Linked DNA regions of Drosophila melanogaster. Changing the gene in region 1 together with any one later gene gives a genetic interaction. Each region holds a gene or a part of one and is shown on either strand. Other genes may lie near its edges.

Evidence for each region.
Region 2: of Dd (region 1) and sax, changing one suppresses a phenotype caused by changing the other (phenotypic suppression), as found in Drosophila melanogaster (one study listed by BioGRID).

What each region holds. Positions count from the first base shown.
Region 1 is NC_004354.4:21,317,705-21,327,143, forward strand, and holds Dd (dullard), read right to left. Parts: upstream 6,306-9,439; 5' UTR 5,526-6,305; coding exon 5,427-5,525; intron 4,459-5,426; coding exon 4,201-4,458; intron 4,116-4,200; coding exon 3,933-4,115; intron 3,810-3,932; coding exon 3,618-3,809; 3' UTR 2,087-3,617; downstream 1-2,086. Other genes in the region: anox (anorexia), read right to left, coding at 360-1,091; SLIRP1 (SRA stem-loop interacting RNA binding protein 1), read right to left, coding at 1,151-1,423; CG1486 (uncharacterized protein), read left to right, coding at 6,757-6,867, 7,006-8,118, 8,185-8,466, 8,524-9,039, 9,099-9,292, 9,357-9,439. UniProt on the Drosophila melanogaster protein: Serine/threonine protein phosphatase that may dephosphorylate and activate lipin-like phosphatases.
Region 2 is NT_033778.4:7,803,027-7,811,665, forward strand, and holds sax (saxophone), read left to right. Parts: upstream 1-3,457; 5' UTR 3,458-3,511; coding exon 3,512-3,572; exon of another isoform or gene 3,573-3,986; intron 3,987-4,045; coding exon 4,046-4,175; intron 4,176-4,289; coding exon 4,290-4,325; intron 4,326-4,542; coding exon 4,543-4,618; intron 4,619-4,681; coding exon 4,682-5,340; intron 5,341-5,483; coding exon 5,484-5,894; intron 5,895-5,955; coding exon 5,956-6,181; intron 6,182-6,243; coding exon 6,244-6,393; 3' UTR 6,394-7,041; downstream 7,042-8,639. Other genes in the region: Nop17l (Nop17 like), read right to left, coding at 1-175, 486-1,710; TTLL12 (tubulin tyrosine ligase-like 12), read right to left, coding at 7,080-8,639.

The DNA of each region.
Region 1 (9,439 bases):
CAGTACGCACAACCCAATTATGATCTTCACAGATAACTTTCGTTCAATGATATCTGAAGAATTGAATAGATTATCAGATTACAGTAGCAGCTTTGTAAAAAGTACATTGCAGTGTTTTCAACTGGCTGCTTGATCAGAACAAAAAAAGAGAGGTTATCCATCTCTTTCTTTTTTATGTTTTTTCGATCTCAATGATTCCTAAAAATCCGAAAGGAAAGTACTTCCAAAATTACATTTATGTATGTATGTTTATTATAGTTCCAAAGAACTTACAGGGGACTTGTCGGAGATTTACAATGGTTCACAACACCTTGCTGTTTTTAAAGCAAATGAGCACCGAACAACTTAAGATTTTGACATTAGGACGCGGATCCAGCGAGTCGTTCCCGTTCCGTTTGAAGCACCTGGCAGATCTGCTCATCGTCAGCCACGTCGTAACAAGTCTGTCCATCTGAATCGCGTAGCTCCAGGCTGGCGTGTAGCTCCAACAGGCATTGGAGCGCCTCCAAGTGTCCACAACTGGCGGCGTAGTGCAGCGGAGTCTGTTGCTCCGCATCTCGCTGATTTACACTGGCCCCACTCCGCACCAGGAACTGTATGATTTCGACGGCATTGCGATCGGTAGCCCAGTGGATGAGCGCCATGCCATGCTCGTCCAGCTTAACCAAGTCACTTGGCTGCAGCAGTTCCCTCAGCCTGTCTAGATTGTTCTCCTTCACGTGGTCAAACAGGGTCTTTTCACTGTCCAAACGTTGGTCCTCCAGTGGGACCGACTCAATGGAATGAACGACCCAGCCTGGGTTGCGCCGGGACCGCCAGTTGGGTTGAAGCTCCTGCAGCTTCTGGACGTAGGCCTGCCGGGCAGCGGACTGGGACATTGTTCCCAGATTGCGCCAAGCCTGCCACTTGCTCTTGGCCTGCAGTTGAAGCAGACCCGGACTTTGCTCCTTGCAGGGGCCATTCGTGGCCTGCTTGTAGTATCCGTAAAATATTAAAAGGTCCGCGGAACCAATGCTGTTTGACTGCTTGGCCACATGCTCGGTGGCAAGGTGGAAAAGCTCGTCCACGGTGTCCGTATCGCTGTCCGACATGTCAAAAAAAAAAAAAATCTGCTGAGCTTATAAACTAAATGACAATTAAAGTGGGGAATCTAAGATTTCTGTATGTTTAGGTAGTTGCCCTCCAGTATGTGCTTCTGCTCGTTCTCGATCTTCTCCAGCGCGGTCAAACTGTTGAAGCTAACGAAACCGTAGCCCTTCGAGCACCCCGTTCGCTTGTCGAAGATCACGTTGGCGGACACCACGCGTCCGAACTCGCGGAAGTAGCCACGCAACTCCTGGTGGCCCACTGTCCACGGTAGATTGCCCACGAAAATGCGGTGCACTGATTTTCCGACTTTTGCTACAGCTGCGGCGGTGGCCATGGACTCGGTTTTGCTAAATGAGGTGTGAATTCGAATTAAATATGGTTTTCTGCTTCTTCCAGCCAAGGCGATCTGGATTCCCGGCGACTCCTTACCAGTTGCGTTGCGTAAATACTGCTGCGTTTCTGTTTCACGTCAACTTGCTGTTTTTGTCGACAGAGAGACATAACCTCAAAGAGGCAGCTAACAGCGCAGTGCTATTACCCTACATGTCGGAGTACATTTGTTCATATATGTAATCAATACTGCAGAGGAGCGTACAGATAATTAGTTAAATGTAATCAATTGGTTTGAAAGCCAATGTAATGACTTCTAAGCTACATTACTCCTAAAATAGTAGTTCATGCAAATAGAATAATTATTTTGTATGTCTATAAATTAAAACTATTGGTTTCAATAGATTAATCTCTCAGAATCGATTTAATTTAAATCTTTATCGTGCTAATCATTTTTCTTAATGTCATAATATTCATCCAAATAGAGTATCAAATCGCTGATGTCTAGTAAGCATAAGCTGCTTTCATTCATTATTTGTGCGCTTAACAGCACATATTCGCACTAACAGGTTCTTACTAGCAATCTGTTAAGCGACGAAGTTCTGTAGAACGGAAAGGGAGCGCCAAATTCAAACGGCAGATCAAAGAAAACACATTTTTTATTTTTGATTTTGCATGATTTTGTTTTATTTTTGTAATTCTTTTTCTGATTTTCCCTTCCCTTTCCCTTTCTTATTTATTTCATTACTCTTCAGTTTAACAAATTTGCTATCAACTACTTAAAATTAACAACATCGCATACACGTATCTTTCTCGATTTCCTTGCAATAAATAAACAAATATTGATTGTTATAAATGTACAATACGATCAAAAGAACAAGTGGATAAGGGTGGGGTTAGGGGTAAGGGCGTGTGCAAGCTTTTGTTGTTTAGTTTAGAGTGGTGTATTTATGCTTTTGGAAATAACATTAACTATGGAAGCCGTTTTCACGTGTTTCTTTTTGTCTCTCGCCTAATTCCTCTGCTGCTGCCCGGAATATCCTGAATATCCTGTGATGCTTCGGATGATGTGCCACGATTTCTCAATTCTCAGACTAACTCGGTTCTCGTATAATTAGTGATTTGGCTCTCTAAACTCCCTATATATATCTGTCCCAGTCTGCGGCTCATTAACCTGATCTGATCCGATCCTATCAGAATTAATTTGATTTTTAATTCTTTTCGCTACTTGGCTCGCCTTACAAAATATAAATTTTGCCTTACTTGCTTGCTCCTCGGTTGTTGTTTACTTTAATAGTAGTTTATAGTTGTGGGTTGTTGCTTAGTCGTAAATATATAACTTCCCCAAAAATCTTATCCATAGAAAAGTGTTATGTTTGGTTTGCAAGCAATGAAACTCTTGAAGATCTTTCATCCGTTTAGTTTTGTACAGGAAACAAGGGCAGAACGTACGTAAGTCTATACAGAATCGGTTACATATTTAATAATTATCCATAATAATGATGTCCAAGTTAAGTTTCGTAATTAACTAATTTGTATAACTATAAGTATTTTGCTTCGTCTTGTTAGTTCGTATCTGCACAAAAACAACTCCAGTGTCATAATAGTTAATTGTTATCATGGTATAGAAATTACAAGACTGTTGTTGTAAGTGGCCTTAGATTTAAATTACAATAATATGATATATAACTTGACAAATTTGTTCTTTATGTTGTGGCTTCGCCTTCTGCTCAGCTTTACATTCATATATATACTGTATACTGTATATATATACTTTATACTATATACTGTCTGTGTTCAAGAGTTTTTATTTGATATTATAATCAAAATATACACCCAAAAAAACAAGCGAAAAAAATGTCTAATAAAAATAGCTGGTCTCTACATATATGGACAAGTATGTATGCATAATTAGATTGTTAAAAAAAAACTGTTAGTCTATACACAAAAGGAGAAATAAACCATCGCTTCCAAATCTCCCAATATATCCTCAACTTTCTGCTTTATCTGTTTGTCTCATCTTATCTCCGCTCATTTGACTGAATGGTACAAATTTTAAATAATAATGAACAAATTCGTTAATGTGTCACAGCACCACCTTGTTTGTTGTTAATTTCAGAAGATATTCTCCCCACTTCGCTGGCCCTCAGTGCTCCTTCTAAATAGATAAACTAAACTAGCGACAGGCGGCCCACCTGCTACCAGAGGCGGTGCAGGTGCAAGTTCCTCGACAGCACCGATCTCACGTCGTTCGTGAACCTCAGCGCATCCAGCATGGGCAGCAGCGACAGCAGCGCCGTGTCCATCGGGTCCGAGAACCAACTCTTGATGGGTATGGCGTTGTTGGGAAAACAGCGATAGGCGCCGGGCGAATTGTCGATGATAAATATCTGCAAGGAACGATGCTCAATTTAGAACAAAATACTCGTATATAAAGTACGATCTTATGCAGCACCCTCTACTTTATCGATTTGCAACTGATGGCTCGCATGGAGTCACTTGTTCCCGCTTACCCTATTTAGGTCACTGCAGATGGCCGACAGGTCTTTGGTGTAGGATCCGTAGTCGGGCGTGCAGTGCTGTCTGTAGTATCGCCTCCGGAGGATGTTTCGTCCGTTGTCCAGCTTGTCTGCCACCGCCGCTCCGTAAATCTCCATGCTGGCCGTGAAGACCACCAGATCGTACCACTGCGAGACCTGCGGGCAGTAGGGCGTAAGTTAATGTGTTGACTTAAATGCGGGAATGCATCTATTTGCTTGGCCAATCAATTCGGGAACTTACCACGTCCAGGAAGTAGTCCACATGCGGTCGCTTGTGCACGAAAAAGCGCACTGGATTCCGATCGATGGTCACTTTGACAGTGAAATCGTGCGGCGTGCCCGGCTTCACCGTATTCCGGGGCATCGCATTGTGATGGGAGTGGATTAGCGTTTCGTCCAGGTCCAGAACGAGGGTCTTGCGCTGCACCAGGCTCAGGCGGTGCCGCGAGACGGGTGACAACGGGAAGAGTTCGTATTTAACCGGTTGATACTGGATAAACTGAGAAAGTTAATACATAATCAACGGAGCAGTACTTGAAAGGCATTCGACATGGGGTTCATATGATGGGCTTGGTGGCTATGCGTCGCTACACTCTGTTGGGGTTGGGTTGCGGTGCAAGGAGATGTTAGAGGTGCTCAATGGCCAAGTTATCACTAGTGCATGGGAAACCCCAATTTACTGATATATTATGCTTTTACAAAACAATTAACAATTATTAGCTGTGCAATAGCATATAATGTTGATGTGGATTCATCGATATCTATGTATATAAGCAGGTCGAAGGTCAGTGCCTCTGCCGCGTCACGATATCTGGCCAAAATCGCCGGCCCAGTACTGAGAGAGTATTGAAGGCGGGTGGTCGATAAGGCGGATGGGAGAACCGTGGACAGCACTTCTGGGACGGGTGGGGATTCGGTGGAACACGAACCATTAAACGTGTGGCGGAAAATCTTGATAGAGGCTTACTTTAAGACAGGTGTCACTGGCTAAGCGGTACCCAGCAAAAATATATGTAACTTTACGAAAATTTAAAATTTTGCAAATATTTAGGAATAAATATCTCGTATTCGTATATATTGAAAGTTACTCTAAATTTAATAGATCGCACATTGAAGTAACGTAAATATAATTTGAAAATATAAATGAAACCATATTATTGATATGAGAGATTTGCAGATACAAAGATCTAAAATATATGAATTAATTTTAAGTTCAACGTTTCTATTCATGCAAATCTTCAAATAAATTTCCGAGGCAAACACATCCATACTCTCTAGCGAGTACTACCTGTATCATTGAAAATCTTATCAGTGCGGCCGCTTTTATTATTATTATTCTGTAGCAGTAGTACTTAAGTTTCGATAGCGGGAGCGGGTTGGGAATAATTTCGGCGTTTCGGGCGGGTAAAAATAGGACTATTTTTGTTTTGTGATTTACTCCTGCTTTCGGGTAATTTCAGTACTTACAGCTCGCACTTGGCGATTGAACATGAAACAAATGCATGTCCATACTTTTGATAGCAACAACAAAAGCGCACGGAATTTCATTTGCAGCAGCGAAATCATTGGAAATAGTGCAAGTCCTTGTACGGTGTTTTTTTTGTTCGGGGCGATTAATTCGATAAATCGACCACGATCCGCGATTGACCGCGGTGCGAGCAGATTCCTCTTCTTCTTCCGCCTCCTCTACTTTATTTTTTCTTTTGCAACGAATTGTTGTTGTTTTTGATAACGCGCCGAGAGCCACACGCACACTCACCCACACACCCGCGGGCGCGCTTCACACAACACACACTCACACAAAAAAAACCCGGAACAAAATCGATAACAAGGCTTCTAGATATTTTGTTGAAAGTGTTTTTCTCTTTTCCCGGTTTTTTACTTGAGTTCAATTATTCGGTGTCGCCTAGTTTTAAGGTCCCTTTTCAAGGGAGAAGGAGGGGTATGGTCTTATTTCCAATTCTTTTGGGGGCTTTTTATATCTGGCGTCTGCTCTTCTTCTTCTCTTTTGTTGTCTTGTACGCCAGTGTGTGAGTGTATTGTTTTTTTTTTAGCGTAGTGTAGTTTTTATATTTTGGCAACTATCGCACCGATTTGGGAATAGATTTTGTTTTTGGTTGAGCAAAACGAATCAATTGATTGAGCTATTGCACTTTGATTGCAGTCGATTGCGAGGTGCGTTCGCCTGAATAGTACGACCTGGCCGTGGACTGTTCATTACTCGTTGGCGCTGCGGCTTAGTGTTTATTACATAAATATAGTTTGTCCGCGTTTCGTTTTTGTTTAATAAATTCCCACACTCATGCACACACTCATGTTTATTCGATACTATCGCACTTTCGCAGCATCGATGAGTTTTCCGCAACTATCGATGGCTGTGTAGTATGACCGTGCGGTGCTGTCTTCAAAATCGCTGAGACACAAACCGTGACACAAACCACTGTGAAAACTCGTCGTTTAAGGTTACGAGTAGGTGCTATGTATGTACGTTTGTGTGCTGCTGTCCAACGTCTTTTAGTGGCGGATATTATAATAGTTTTCCAACTTCCTTGCGACCTATTCCATCACCAGAACCATGGGCCAACAATCGCACACTATTTGCGATCTTAGTCAGACGCACCCACTACGGTCACACCATTCCACATCAGCCTCTCTTCCATCAACACACACACACACTCGCCCGCCCCACACACACACGCACACACACCCACCCACACAGACGCAGTGGCACGAAACGAAAACAATTATTTTGCATCGCAGGCGATAAGTTAAAAGTGATTTAGACCGCACTGAAACCATGTCAGCGGCTGGTAGATCGGTGGACGATCCCGGCCAGAGCCCACTCGTAGACCAAGAGCCGGATCCGGGCCAATCAACGCCAGCGGTGGCCGAAATCGCCGCTTCCAGTGTGAGTGTTTGGTTTTTTTCGCCCTGCTTCTATCTTTTTTTTTTTTGCTGACGACGACGGAAGACACGTCAACTTCTGGAGCGCTGTTGTTTACCTTGTCCACTATCCCACCTAATTAGCCATGTATTCGCCACATAGATTCGATCGGGCCTGGCGGAGCTGGAGCTGCGATCTTCGCAGGTGCTGCAGCGCTTAGAGAACGTTAAGGTGTCGACCACGCCGGAGAGCCCAAATCCCGTCGAGAACGAGGAAGAGGCTGGGGAGCGGGTGACCAGCGAGGACCTCCTGCCAGCGAAGCATCGCGTGCCCTCCGACATTCTTAAGTCGCTGGAGCAATTGGTTTCTTACACGGACAGCGACGATGATCCGGAGTTCCCGCTGCCCGCCCTGGATGACGTCTCCCACTTGGCTCTCATATCGCACAGCATTGTGGCCTATTTGTCGCATCTGGACCGTCAGCAACTGCTCCGGGTGACGAACAGCATTTCCGGGGACGCCACCCGCTGGTTGGGCACGCTGTTTCACTTTGCCCACCCGGCGAGCAGCTTCCATGCGGACAATGCAGACGCGGTGCTGCGTACGGTGCGACTGGCCATCGTCGCCAGGTGTCCGGGGTACTTGGAGGGTGGCATACCCGCCCTGGCGCAGCCTACGTTTTACATCTCGGAGAATACGACGCCGATGAGGCTGCACTACGCATGCCGCCAGTTGGGCATACCGCTGGAGGCTATTAAGGTCATTCCGGAGCACAGTCAGTCCGGGACAATGGATGTGACGCTGCTGCAAAAGCAAATTCAGCAGGATGTGGGCAATAACAGGACTCCGCTGCTGGTGGTCGCCGACATTGGAGCCTCGTTGTGTGGCTATGTGGACAACCTGCTCCGGCTGAGGGACGTATGCAAGGCGCACAACATGTGGCTGCACGCCAGTGGCCACGGACTGGCCGCCTTGGTGTGCGCCCAAAATCAGGGCCATGTGGAGGAGGTACTCCACTCGATGGCCCTGAATTTGGGCAGCTGGCTGGGTGTGCCCAGTCTGCCCATCGTCCTGCTGCACCGTCCGCTGCAGAACAGCGCTCTGAGTGCCTTCGAATCCGATCCCATACTGTCGCGTCGTCTTAATGCCCTGTCCTTGTGGACCAGTTTGCAGGCGCTGGGCCGGAAGGCGATTGCGGAGCGTCTGCATGTGGCCTTCCAGACGTGCAGTATTCTCTTCGAGATTGCCTCCAAGTGTGAGGGCATCCGGGTGTTGGTAAATTATTGCACACACGTTTATGGATAATGTTTTTAGTTTACCAAAGGACCTTGGCATTTTCAGAGCCATACTCCAGGAGCGCAGACCGGAGCCTCTTTGTCGGACGTCATTCAGAGCCCCTTTGATGTGCAGGCGCTTTTTGATGCCGCCGCCCCCGTGGTCGCCTATCAGTTCGACGGCAGCACCACCATTCCACTGGGCGGGAGTGGCTCTTCCGCCGCCGCTGCCGCTGCTGAGCGGGAAACGGCCGAAGGCCTCAAGCCGCTAGAGAAGATTAACAATGCTTCCTACTTCGACCGGCTCAACTCCTGGCTGGGTCAAATCTTGCAACGCGACTGTCCCAATGTATGCAGTGTGAATTAATCATCTCCTTGTATGAGCCTAATCACCATGTTCTTCCAGTTTGACTTTGAGGTAATTGAACACCCGACGCACGGCAGCTGCATTCGCTACTGTCCGCTGGAATTGGGGTTGGGTGAGCAGCCGCCAAGCTCCGAGAACCTGGAGAGCTTCGCTCAGAGCTTAGAGGCACATGTGGACATCCTGCGCGCGACCATCAAGCACAAGGCACGGTTCATTCATCTGGTGGAGTGCAGCGACGTGCTGCGCCTCGTTCCACTGCCCGAATGGGCGGGCATGGGCGGTGTTCGCTTCGTGCCCGAGGGCTGGGAGTCCCTGCTGACGGACCAGGCCAAAACAGAGCTAAACAAGCTGAACATCGACCTGGTGGAGGCCCTGAAATCCACGGACAATGCCTTTTCATTAGGCGAAGGCACCGATGGTCTGATTTGTGTGCGATTCGGAATGGTGACCCATGAAACGGAGGTCGAAGAGTTGTTAGACTTGGTGGTCACGGTGGGCAAGAGCGTCCAGGAAAACTCGCGGGTATTGGACACCATGTCGGAGATTGTTAAAAAGGTTGGCTACCACCTCGTACTGGATTAATGTAACATGTGTTAATTTATTTGTACGCTCAGGGCATTGAGGCGGTTACCGCTGATCTGCAGCGCGAATCGGAGGAGAAGCTCTGGCAGGAGGGCATCCTGCGCCACGTGCCTGTGGTGGGACGCGTCTTCAACTGGTGGTCCCCACCGGCCAAGGAGTCGGGCATCAAGGGGCGGAGCCTCAATCTTACCCAAGGTGTTGTCGAAAGCACCGAGAACATTTACAAGTGGGTTCCAAAGATCGTTTGATATTGTGTCCTTGTTTAATGTTCATCAATCTACACTCCAAAGGTACCACATGCAGATGACCGGAGCCACTGCTCATCAGTTGCCAGCGAATCGTTCGCCTCCCACACCCATGGTGCAGACGCCCG
Region 2 (8,639 bases), on another chromosome or scaffold:
AGGTGCAGGCTCCGCTGCTCCCTCAACTGCTCAATGGAGTCCGGTTGAACGTTGGGCACGTGCAGCACAAAGGCCATCACATTGTCCAGCACGTTGCAGTCGAACTTGCTGGGCAGCTGGTAGTGCACGGAGCTCTTCAGGAACGGGCTATTGGCAGGTGCGACACTGGGCGATGCTGAGGGATCACACAAATATATATATATTAATATATTTATTTGAAAGAGTATCAAAATAAAAGAACAATCCAATCCAAAAGCCAACCATTCTCTTCGCACAAATTAAACAAACTTAAAAGCTTTTAATCGAAAATAGTTCGATCCACACAATATTATCTTATAATATTATCATACATAATACAACTGCCTATTATAATAATTAATAATAATGGATGGAATGGATGACCCCTTGTACGTGAGATTTACAAGTTTTCATTGTTAATTATATTTACAGACTCTTAAATATGATATTATTAATGGTTTACTTACAAGTCTCGGAAATATCCGCCTTGGAATCGCTGAGTTCGCCATCGGGATCCTCCTCCACCGGCGATTCGCTATTGGAGTGCAGCTCCACGCCGCTGTCCTCGCGGCTGAAGTGGCGCAAGGTTTCGTGCATCTGGGCTTGCTCCTGGATGCTCTTCCGGACCACAGGTAACGTGATGCTCAAACGACGCATATCCGTGTCGAAGCGGGCCCGGCCCGCCTTGTCGTCCACGATGAAGGGCAGGTCCAGCTTCAGGCGGTACTTGGCGCCCTGTCGCTCGCTGAACAGGTATATGGACTTGGAGGTGACGTCCAGCTGGCACTCGGCTGTCGAGCGGAGCAGGGGGAGCTCGATCTCCACGACAAGAGAACGAGGAACGGTCACGTGCAGCTTGGCATCCAGCTCGTCCGTGTACTCGGACAAGTCCACGTCGTGGCTGTGCTTGATCGTATACCTGGGCACCGTGAACTCCGGCACCGGAGAGGGTTTCGTTTTCATGGGCAGGACACGGGGCTCTTGTTTCCCCGGAGCGGGTGGCTTTGTGGGGAACATGTGCGCCAGGGGATGTGGCTCCTGCTCCTCGGCCGTGGGATTATCGGCCATCTTGCGTATCACAGTGGGACGGGGAATACCCTTGTAGTCCAGCTTGGGGAACTTGAGGTTGGCGCGATCCAGCGAGACCTTGTACTCGCGTTCGATTGCGTCCAGTGCCGTATCGATGAGGCATTGGCGGAACTGTTTGTTCCGCATGGCCAGGTGAAGGGCGTCGGGATGGAAGACGACGTCGAACACCTTGCAGTGGTTGTTTTTCGCATCGAAGTCATCGCGCGACGTGGTCTGGGCCATCGGAATGGACCAGCTCAGGCCCCGGCTACCACTCGACGGATCCGTGGCCACCTCATTTTTGGGCCTCTGGATCTCCTCACAGCTAGCGATGTTGATGAAGCACTTGAGCTCGCCATCTAGAGCGGTCTTGATCACGAATCCCGGCTTCGGGTGGATGAACCTCACCTCCACGCCACGCTCCTTCTCCAGCTGCGTGATCTCTGACTCGTAGATCTTGCGGTTCTCAGGATCCTGGATCTCATCCACGTAGTCGAAGAAGAGCTTGCGGAACTCCTCCTTGCCAAAGGCCTCCTGGAATCGGTTGAACTCGTCCCTGCTTATATCGAGCCGCTCATCGTCACAAAGTTTGGATTGTTTATTACGCGATCTAGATGCGGACATAGCTTTCTCGCAGGCACACTTCACTCACGGAGGGATCTCTTCGGTCTCCTCTTCTCTCCTCGGCACTTTTACTACACAAATACAAATTTTCTTATCACTTCGACGGGTTTTGATTTTTTGTTTGTTTCTATTTGTTAGGGGTTGCTCAGTTTTGGGCCACGTTTCCTTGGCAAATGCGTTGGGTTTCTATTTCTGGAAGGTTCTGAAAGTACAAATAAACATAGATGTAAGTACGGACAATCTTGTAAGATAATCAGCTATCTTATATTACGAATGTATAACTGCAATAACAACAAGACAAGTCGTTTGGGAAAAATTACTAGTTTTTCTGTTTCGGCTATACATATGTAAGTTCTATGTATACCTGGCTATTTTATAGTTTTGCAAATAAACCTTGAGGGCATGACTAAATCTTGCGGAACCTGGCGAAACTCTGGAAACTTTCCAATCGAATCTGAGATAAGCCAAGTAAGTACCAGGTCCCAAGGTTGCCCTAGGTCCTGACCATTTCGCAGCCAAAAAAAAACACCGAGCTGGCATTTAATCAAATTCTAATCAGCAGATAGGCAAATAAATATTAAATCAATGACGCAGAAAGGTCGCTGTCGAAAATCACCGGCTATCCGCCGGATTTACGGGCATTATGTAAGTAGATACACATGTGTGTAGATGACTACAAACTGACCACGAGTTTTTTTTTTACTTGTCGGCCAATAAATAAATAAACGAACTGCGTAGTTTGTGAAATTCTAGGAGAACGCGTAAATGTTTTCTGTTTTTTTTTTCGAGTTTTGGTGCGATGCTTTCCCGACGAGCGTTTTTATGAGAATGGGAGCGCTACGCCCGAAACGCCGGCAAATATTGGAGGCTCTTTGCGAGTCGAGCGGCCCACAGAGAGAGCGTCCTCTGCGCAGTGAGGGGCTTTTGATAAGCGCGAAAAAAACCACTTGCCCCAATTGTTTTTGTTTAGCGGGATTCTGCCCCCGCAGCCCCTGCGCTCACACACACATTATGCGATTTCTGGCGCAACCCAACTAATTGTACAATAAACGACCACATCTCTACACACATATGTATGTATATACAAAGATAATGTTTGTATTGCGTCTGCCAACTGATATTACAAACTTATGTACATACATATATGTGCAGGAGGGCGGGGGTGGTAATTGGGGGGTCAGTAAGATGATTCCCTACGGCGTGTGTATCTTCTCCATTGCAAGGAAAACGAGGAAAATTATAACAGTTACGTGACTAAAAACACATGTTTGCGCTGTGGGAGGGGGAAAACTCTGTCGTTTGATCGATACTAGCTGAAACCCATTGATTTTCTGGACAAACCGGTCGCAGTGGACATGAAAACCCTAACTAAGCAAATGTTTTGTTATATTCCATGACACCGGGTAGGTAAATCCGTTAATTTCACTCAGGAAAACAACTTAATGGCACGAAAACTCCTCCACTGAAGATCTCCTGCTTCTCCACTTACCTAAATTGAACACAATTATGCTTTGTGAACACAACGGCACTGAATAAAATAATTGTCTGTTAAATGGGCTCCTTTGCCAAAGACTCTTTGATGGGAGTTCGAGTTTGACGTTCTAGAAACTTTTCCGCTGACCGGCTGCTCGTGTTGGTGTGCGTGTTGTGCTTTGGTATTTTTACGCAGGGGATTTGGGAAATTTGAAGACCCGGTATTTTATGTGAAATATGTTATGTGCAGATGTGGGCCCTGGTCACACTGCCCGCTAGAAGTATATCGATAGGTTCCGATAGGCTCGGACAAATAACATTTCTAGCAATGGAGTCCAATATATATTTAGTTTTTCTATTGACGTTTCTGCTGTACAATAATGCCAGAGGTGGGCATCAATTAGTGTTAATCAATTACCAAGTGCTTGGTGAAGAGAGTGCGCAAGAGAAATTTCGATTTTATGGGGTTTTAGAGCCACATATAATGCCTTGAAAAGTCACTGAGTGTTTTGGGTTTGTTTTCATATGCTGCGGTTCTGGCCAATTGCGTTGCGTATTTGGCCAGGCCAAGGCGAAAAAAGTGCCCTCGGAATGCTGATTGGTGAAAGAAGCACCTGATGGATCCCACAGAATGTATTATATAAACGGATGTCGTGGGCGTTTGCAGCATAAGTGCATTTTCTCAATGATTTACCCACGCACACCACCGTTCTGTGTGTGTATACAGAACTTGCTGGGGCGCCTGTGTGCATGTGTGTGTGTGTGTTAGTGCTGGTGGCGTTTGTGTTGGTTGGGCCGTCCATGTGTGTACATATGTATATGCTATGTGCATATGGTTTAATGTGCATTTGTTATGTTTCAGCCGAAATCAGCGATCATCTGCGGGAGGACATACCGGACTTAGACATGGAGCTCTCCTCCGCCTCATCCGCCCATCTCAATGGCAAGGAGCTACCGGCCGTGCCACAGAACTCGGTGCAGACGCATCCCAGGTGATTATATCTTAAGTCTTGAGCCCATAGCTTGTAGCTCCCGCTTCCGCCCAAAGGCTTTGTATTGCTAATCTCATTTCCCTCCTAATTGCCATGCTGCTAATCCTTAATTAGGAGACACATTAAGAGTAAGCGCCGCATGAAGAGAAGGTAAAACCTACACGACTCATGAACTAAAACATCATAAACTGGTTAACTTTTAGTTAAAATTTTGAAAATATTCATAATTTTACTTAAAAAACCCCATTTTTTTTAAATATTTTATAGTATATTATACTTTTATACCCAAATGTTAACAATTAAAAGCTGCCCGTTTGCGTAACCGATTCTTCTTCAATCTTATTAAACTCTCTCTTTTTTTTATCAGATACAAATGCTACTCCTGCGAGCCGCCCTGTCGGGATCCCTATGAGTTTACCCACACCTGCCAGAATGCGATTCAGGTGAATACTCCACCTTAAACTTGATTAAAACTTAAATGTAACTTAATTTCCGAACTTCAACAGTGCTGGAAGTCGCGCACACGCGATGCCGATGGTCAGGTGCAGGAGTCACGCGGCTGCAGCACCTCGCCGGATCAACTGCCCATGATCTGCAGCCAGAACTCCTTGAAGATCAACGGGCCCAGTAAACGCAATACGGGGAAGTTCGTGAATGTGGTCTGCTGTGCCGGTGATTACTGCAATGAGGGAGACTTTCCGGAACTGCTGCCCTTCGACAGCAATGATGTGACGGTGATAACCGCGGATACCAGTAGCATAAGCAAGATGCTCGTCGCCGTTCTGGGTCCTTTTCTGGTCATCGCTCTGCTGGGCGCCGTGACCATCTTCTTCATTCGTCGTAGCCATCGCAAGCGTCTGGCTGCCTCGCGAACCAAACAGGACCCGGAAGCGTATCTGGTCAATGATGAGCTGCTCCGCGCCACCAGCGCCGGGGACAGTACGCTGAGGGAGTATCTGCAGCACTCGGTGACCTCCGGCTCGGGCAGCGGATTGCCGCTGCTAGTGCAGCGTACGCTAGCCAAACAGGTCACCCTGATCGAGTGCATTGGACGAGGCAAATACGGCGAGGTTTGGCGCGGTCACTGGCATGGCGAAAGCATCGCCGTGAAGATATTCTTCAGTCGCGACGAGGAGTCCTGGAAGCGGGAGACAGAGATATATAGGTGAGCAACAGATTATTTGTGACTCTGTAATTTGTAGCTGTAGAAATTTTTAACTGTTTCCCCAGAAGAAAAGTGCCCTAGTCCAGTCATGACTACCTACCTGTTGCTCTATGAATCATAAATAATCGTTCTTTGTTTTTCAGCACCATATTGCTACGACATGAAAATATTCTGGGATTCATCGGCTCTGACATGACGTCGCGGAACTCGTGCACCCAACTTTGGCTGATGACGCACTACTATCCACTGGGCTCGCTCTTTGATCACCTAAACCGTAACGCCCTAAGCCACAACGATATGGTATGGATTTGCCTGTCCATAGCTAATGGGCTGGTACACTTGCACACAGAGATATTCGGCAAGCAAGGCAAGCCAGCTATGGCCCACCGCGATTTGAAGTCAAAGAATATACTGGTCACCTCGAACGGCTCCTGCGTGATAGCCGATTTTGGACTGGCCGTTACCCATTCGCACGTCACAGGACAACTGGACCTGGGCAACAACCCCAAAGTGGGCACCAAGCGCTACATGGCCCCAGAGGTTCTTGATGAAAGGTGTGTGCTTATTGGCAGTACAAAAAAGAATATTTTTACATTAACAATTTGTCTATTGTAGCATTGATTTAGAATGCTTCGAAGCACTACGCCGGACAGATATTTACGCATTTGGACTTGTCCTCTGGGAGGTTTGTCGCCGCACCATTTCTTGCGGCATAGCAGAGGAGTACAAGGTGCCCTTCTACGATGTGGTGCCAATGGATCCCAGCTTCGAGGATATGCGCAAGGTGGTCTGCATCGACAACTACAGGCCCTCCATTCCCAATCGCTGGAGCTCGGATTCGGTAAGTCGCTTTCGATTGCCATTCTCTAGATCTTTGATCTCATTGTTGTTCTCATTTTTTAGTTAATGACTGGCATGTCCAAGCTCATGAAGGAGTGCTGGCACCAAAACCCCGACGTGCGCTTGCCAGCGCTGCGCATCAAAAAGACTATACATAAGCTGGCTTCCGCTGACGAGAAGATACGCCTGGACTTCGACGAGGTCTGCGTTTAGTGGTAGTAGTCGAGCCTTAGCTGTAAGCGGTAATTTAGTTGTACCACATAGGTAGTCTAAGATTCATTCATTGACATACCCTGCATTTCACACTATTAGTTCGTAGGTATATTATTCAAAGCTAAGCCAAGATCCTGCGTGTTGAAGCAAACTAATCCAAGTACAAGACCCTTGGGAGCTTATAGTTATATAGAAGACTTTAACATATTTACTTTATGTTTGGATTGACTTTATCGTTTCCGTTCCACCGTGAGCCTAGCCTGAAAAGGGTGCCTTTGAAATTGCCTTAAGTTAAAGTTAGCATCGACTCTAATGTATGTTCTTGGGATATCATCCTGTAAAGTTGTCATTTCACTATTTACCATTATTCATTGTTCATCAAGTGCCATTTGCAATTGAGAATTGTAAACGCCTTAACTTTAAGCTCACTCTTTGAACTTTACACTAAATTCATAACTCTAGAACTTGTCCATGCTATGATAAAACCATAAGCCACACCACCAACTGACTTGCTATCTTAGTTAGTTAAGCCTTTAGGACTTAGATACCCACGCATAGAAGCATACACACCTACTTGTATATTGTACAAATGGCAAGCTATTTAAGTTTTGTATAGTCTAAACGAAATGAAATACACGAATAGGCATTAAACTTTGGGATAACTGGGTTTATTTGCTCGGTTAATGTCAATTGTCTGGCGTCAGTACCCGGAAGCTATCGTCGTTTTCTTCGTCTAGGAAGAGCAGACGGAAGATGTCGTTGAAGAAGTCGGGATAGTAGTCGCATGCGCGTTTGCAGTCCGGAGTCCAGTTGATTTCCAGCAACTGGGGCTCCATCAACTTCTCCTTATCGTCCTTCCACCGCAGCATGATGTCGGCTGCGTAAAGAGCTCGTGATTGGGCACAAGGAGCCAGGCCGCAGGGTGGATCTGCTTGACTGGCGCACTGAAGCACCTCGAGCAGCATGCTACAGATCTGCTGCTCCAGAGCCGACCAATCGTTATCCGGATACTGTTCCTGCCAGAGCGTCAGGAAGTCGTCGCACTTGACGTGATGCAGCTGCGCCTCCGTCTGGTAGTTCATCACCGTGTAGTGTTTCTCGTAGTCATCGAAGTGATCCAGCGTGAAGGGATGGTTTGCGAAACGCAGGAAGAACTTCCGGTGTATATATGCCTTCAGGGGTTTGACGCTTTTCAACAGGATTACATAGCGAATATCGAACTTAACGCTGCCTTCCACCTCCTGCCGACTAAAGAGAACTGGTCGCTCGATGTACTTCTGCGCTATCTTCGGTCCAGTGGCCGGTAGACGTACGATCTGCTTGATGTTGTCCGTGATATGTGTGTCCAATCCGCGAGCCAAGTTCCAGGGCTTGATAATCCAGTGGTTGTCGAGGCCCTTGGCTGCTCTCGTTTGGTAGTAAGCCGCGAACTCCTTTACTTCGGTGGACAGATTATAGGTGGTGGGGAGCCATGCCGGAAACGTTTCAAGCGTAAGGCTATCATGGTGCTCCTTGGCCGCCCGGCGGCCCACAATGCTAAGGAGATCCTTGATGGTGATCACGTACTCGAACGGAAACTGATTGATGAACTTGCCGGGCGACCTATCTGCAAAATCCTCGAAATTCTTGAAGTGGTGTGTGAGCCAAAGGACATCCGCCTCGTCTGCGTTGTTAACTAGGATGAACTCGGACGAAGTTAGATGACGGCGCACCACCTCGTACTCTGCATACACCTTCAGCGGATCGCAACGTGACCTGGCTGGCAGTGGAACAGTATCGCCTTTGGGATAGGTCTCAGGGATGTGACCGCTGGTAAAGTAATCTGCCCGGGGTTCAACCTGCAAGAAGCTTTCGCCCGTGAGGTCGGCATCGCGCCAGGGTAAAAGCAGCGCAGGCCGCTGGGGCGCATCCTTTGCCACGTGCTCCACCATATCGCGGGTCACCGCTTCTCCGACATCGCAGTCCCGAATCGGAAAGAGCACACTGTATGTGGTTTGGGTGTTTAGGTAGAGCAGCGGAACAAGTCGAAAGTTGGGATCGTCCGAGTGGTTCACAGCCGAGCCGACTTCGTCCATCACATACCAGATGGGCTGGCGCTCCTCGTCCGACAAGCCTTCGCTGCCGATGGAGTAGGCGTGGCAGTACTTCCACAGACGGCGCAGGATCTTGTCGACCCGATCCTTCAGCTCAAGGTCAACGCCAGTGATGGCAGAAAGTCGCTCCGCCAGTTGCGGATACTCCTCCAG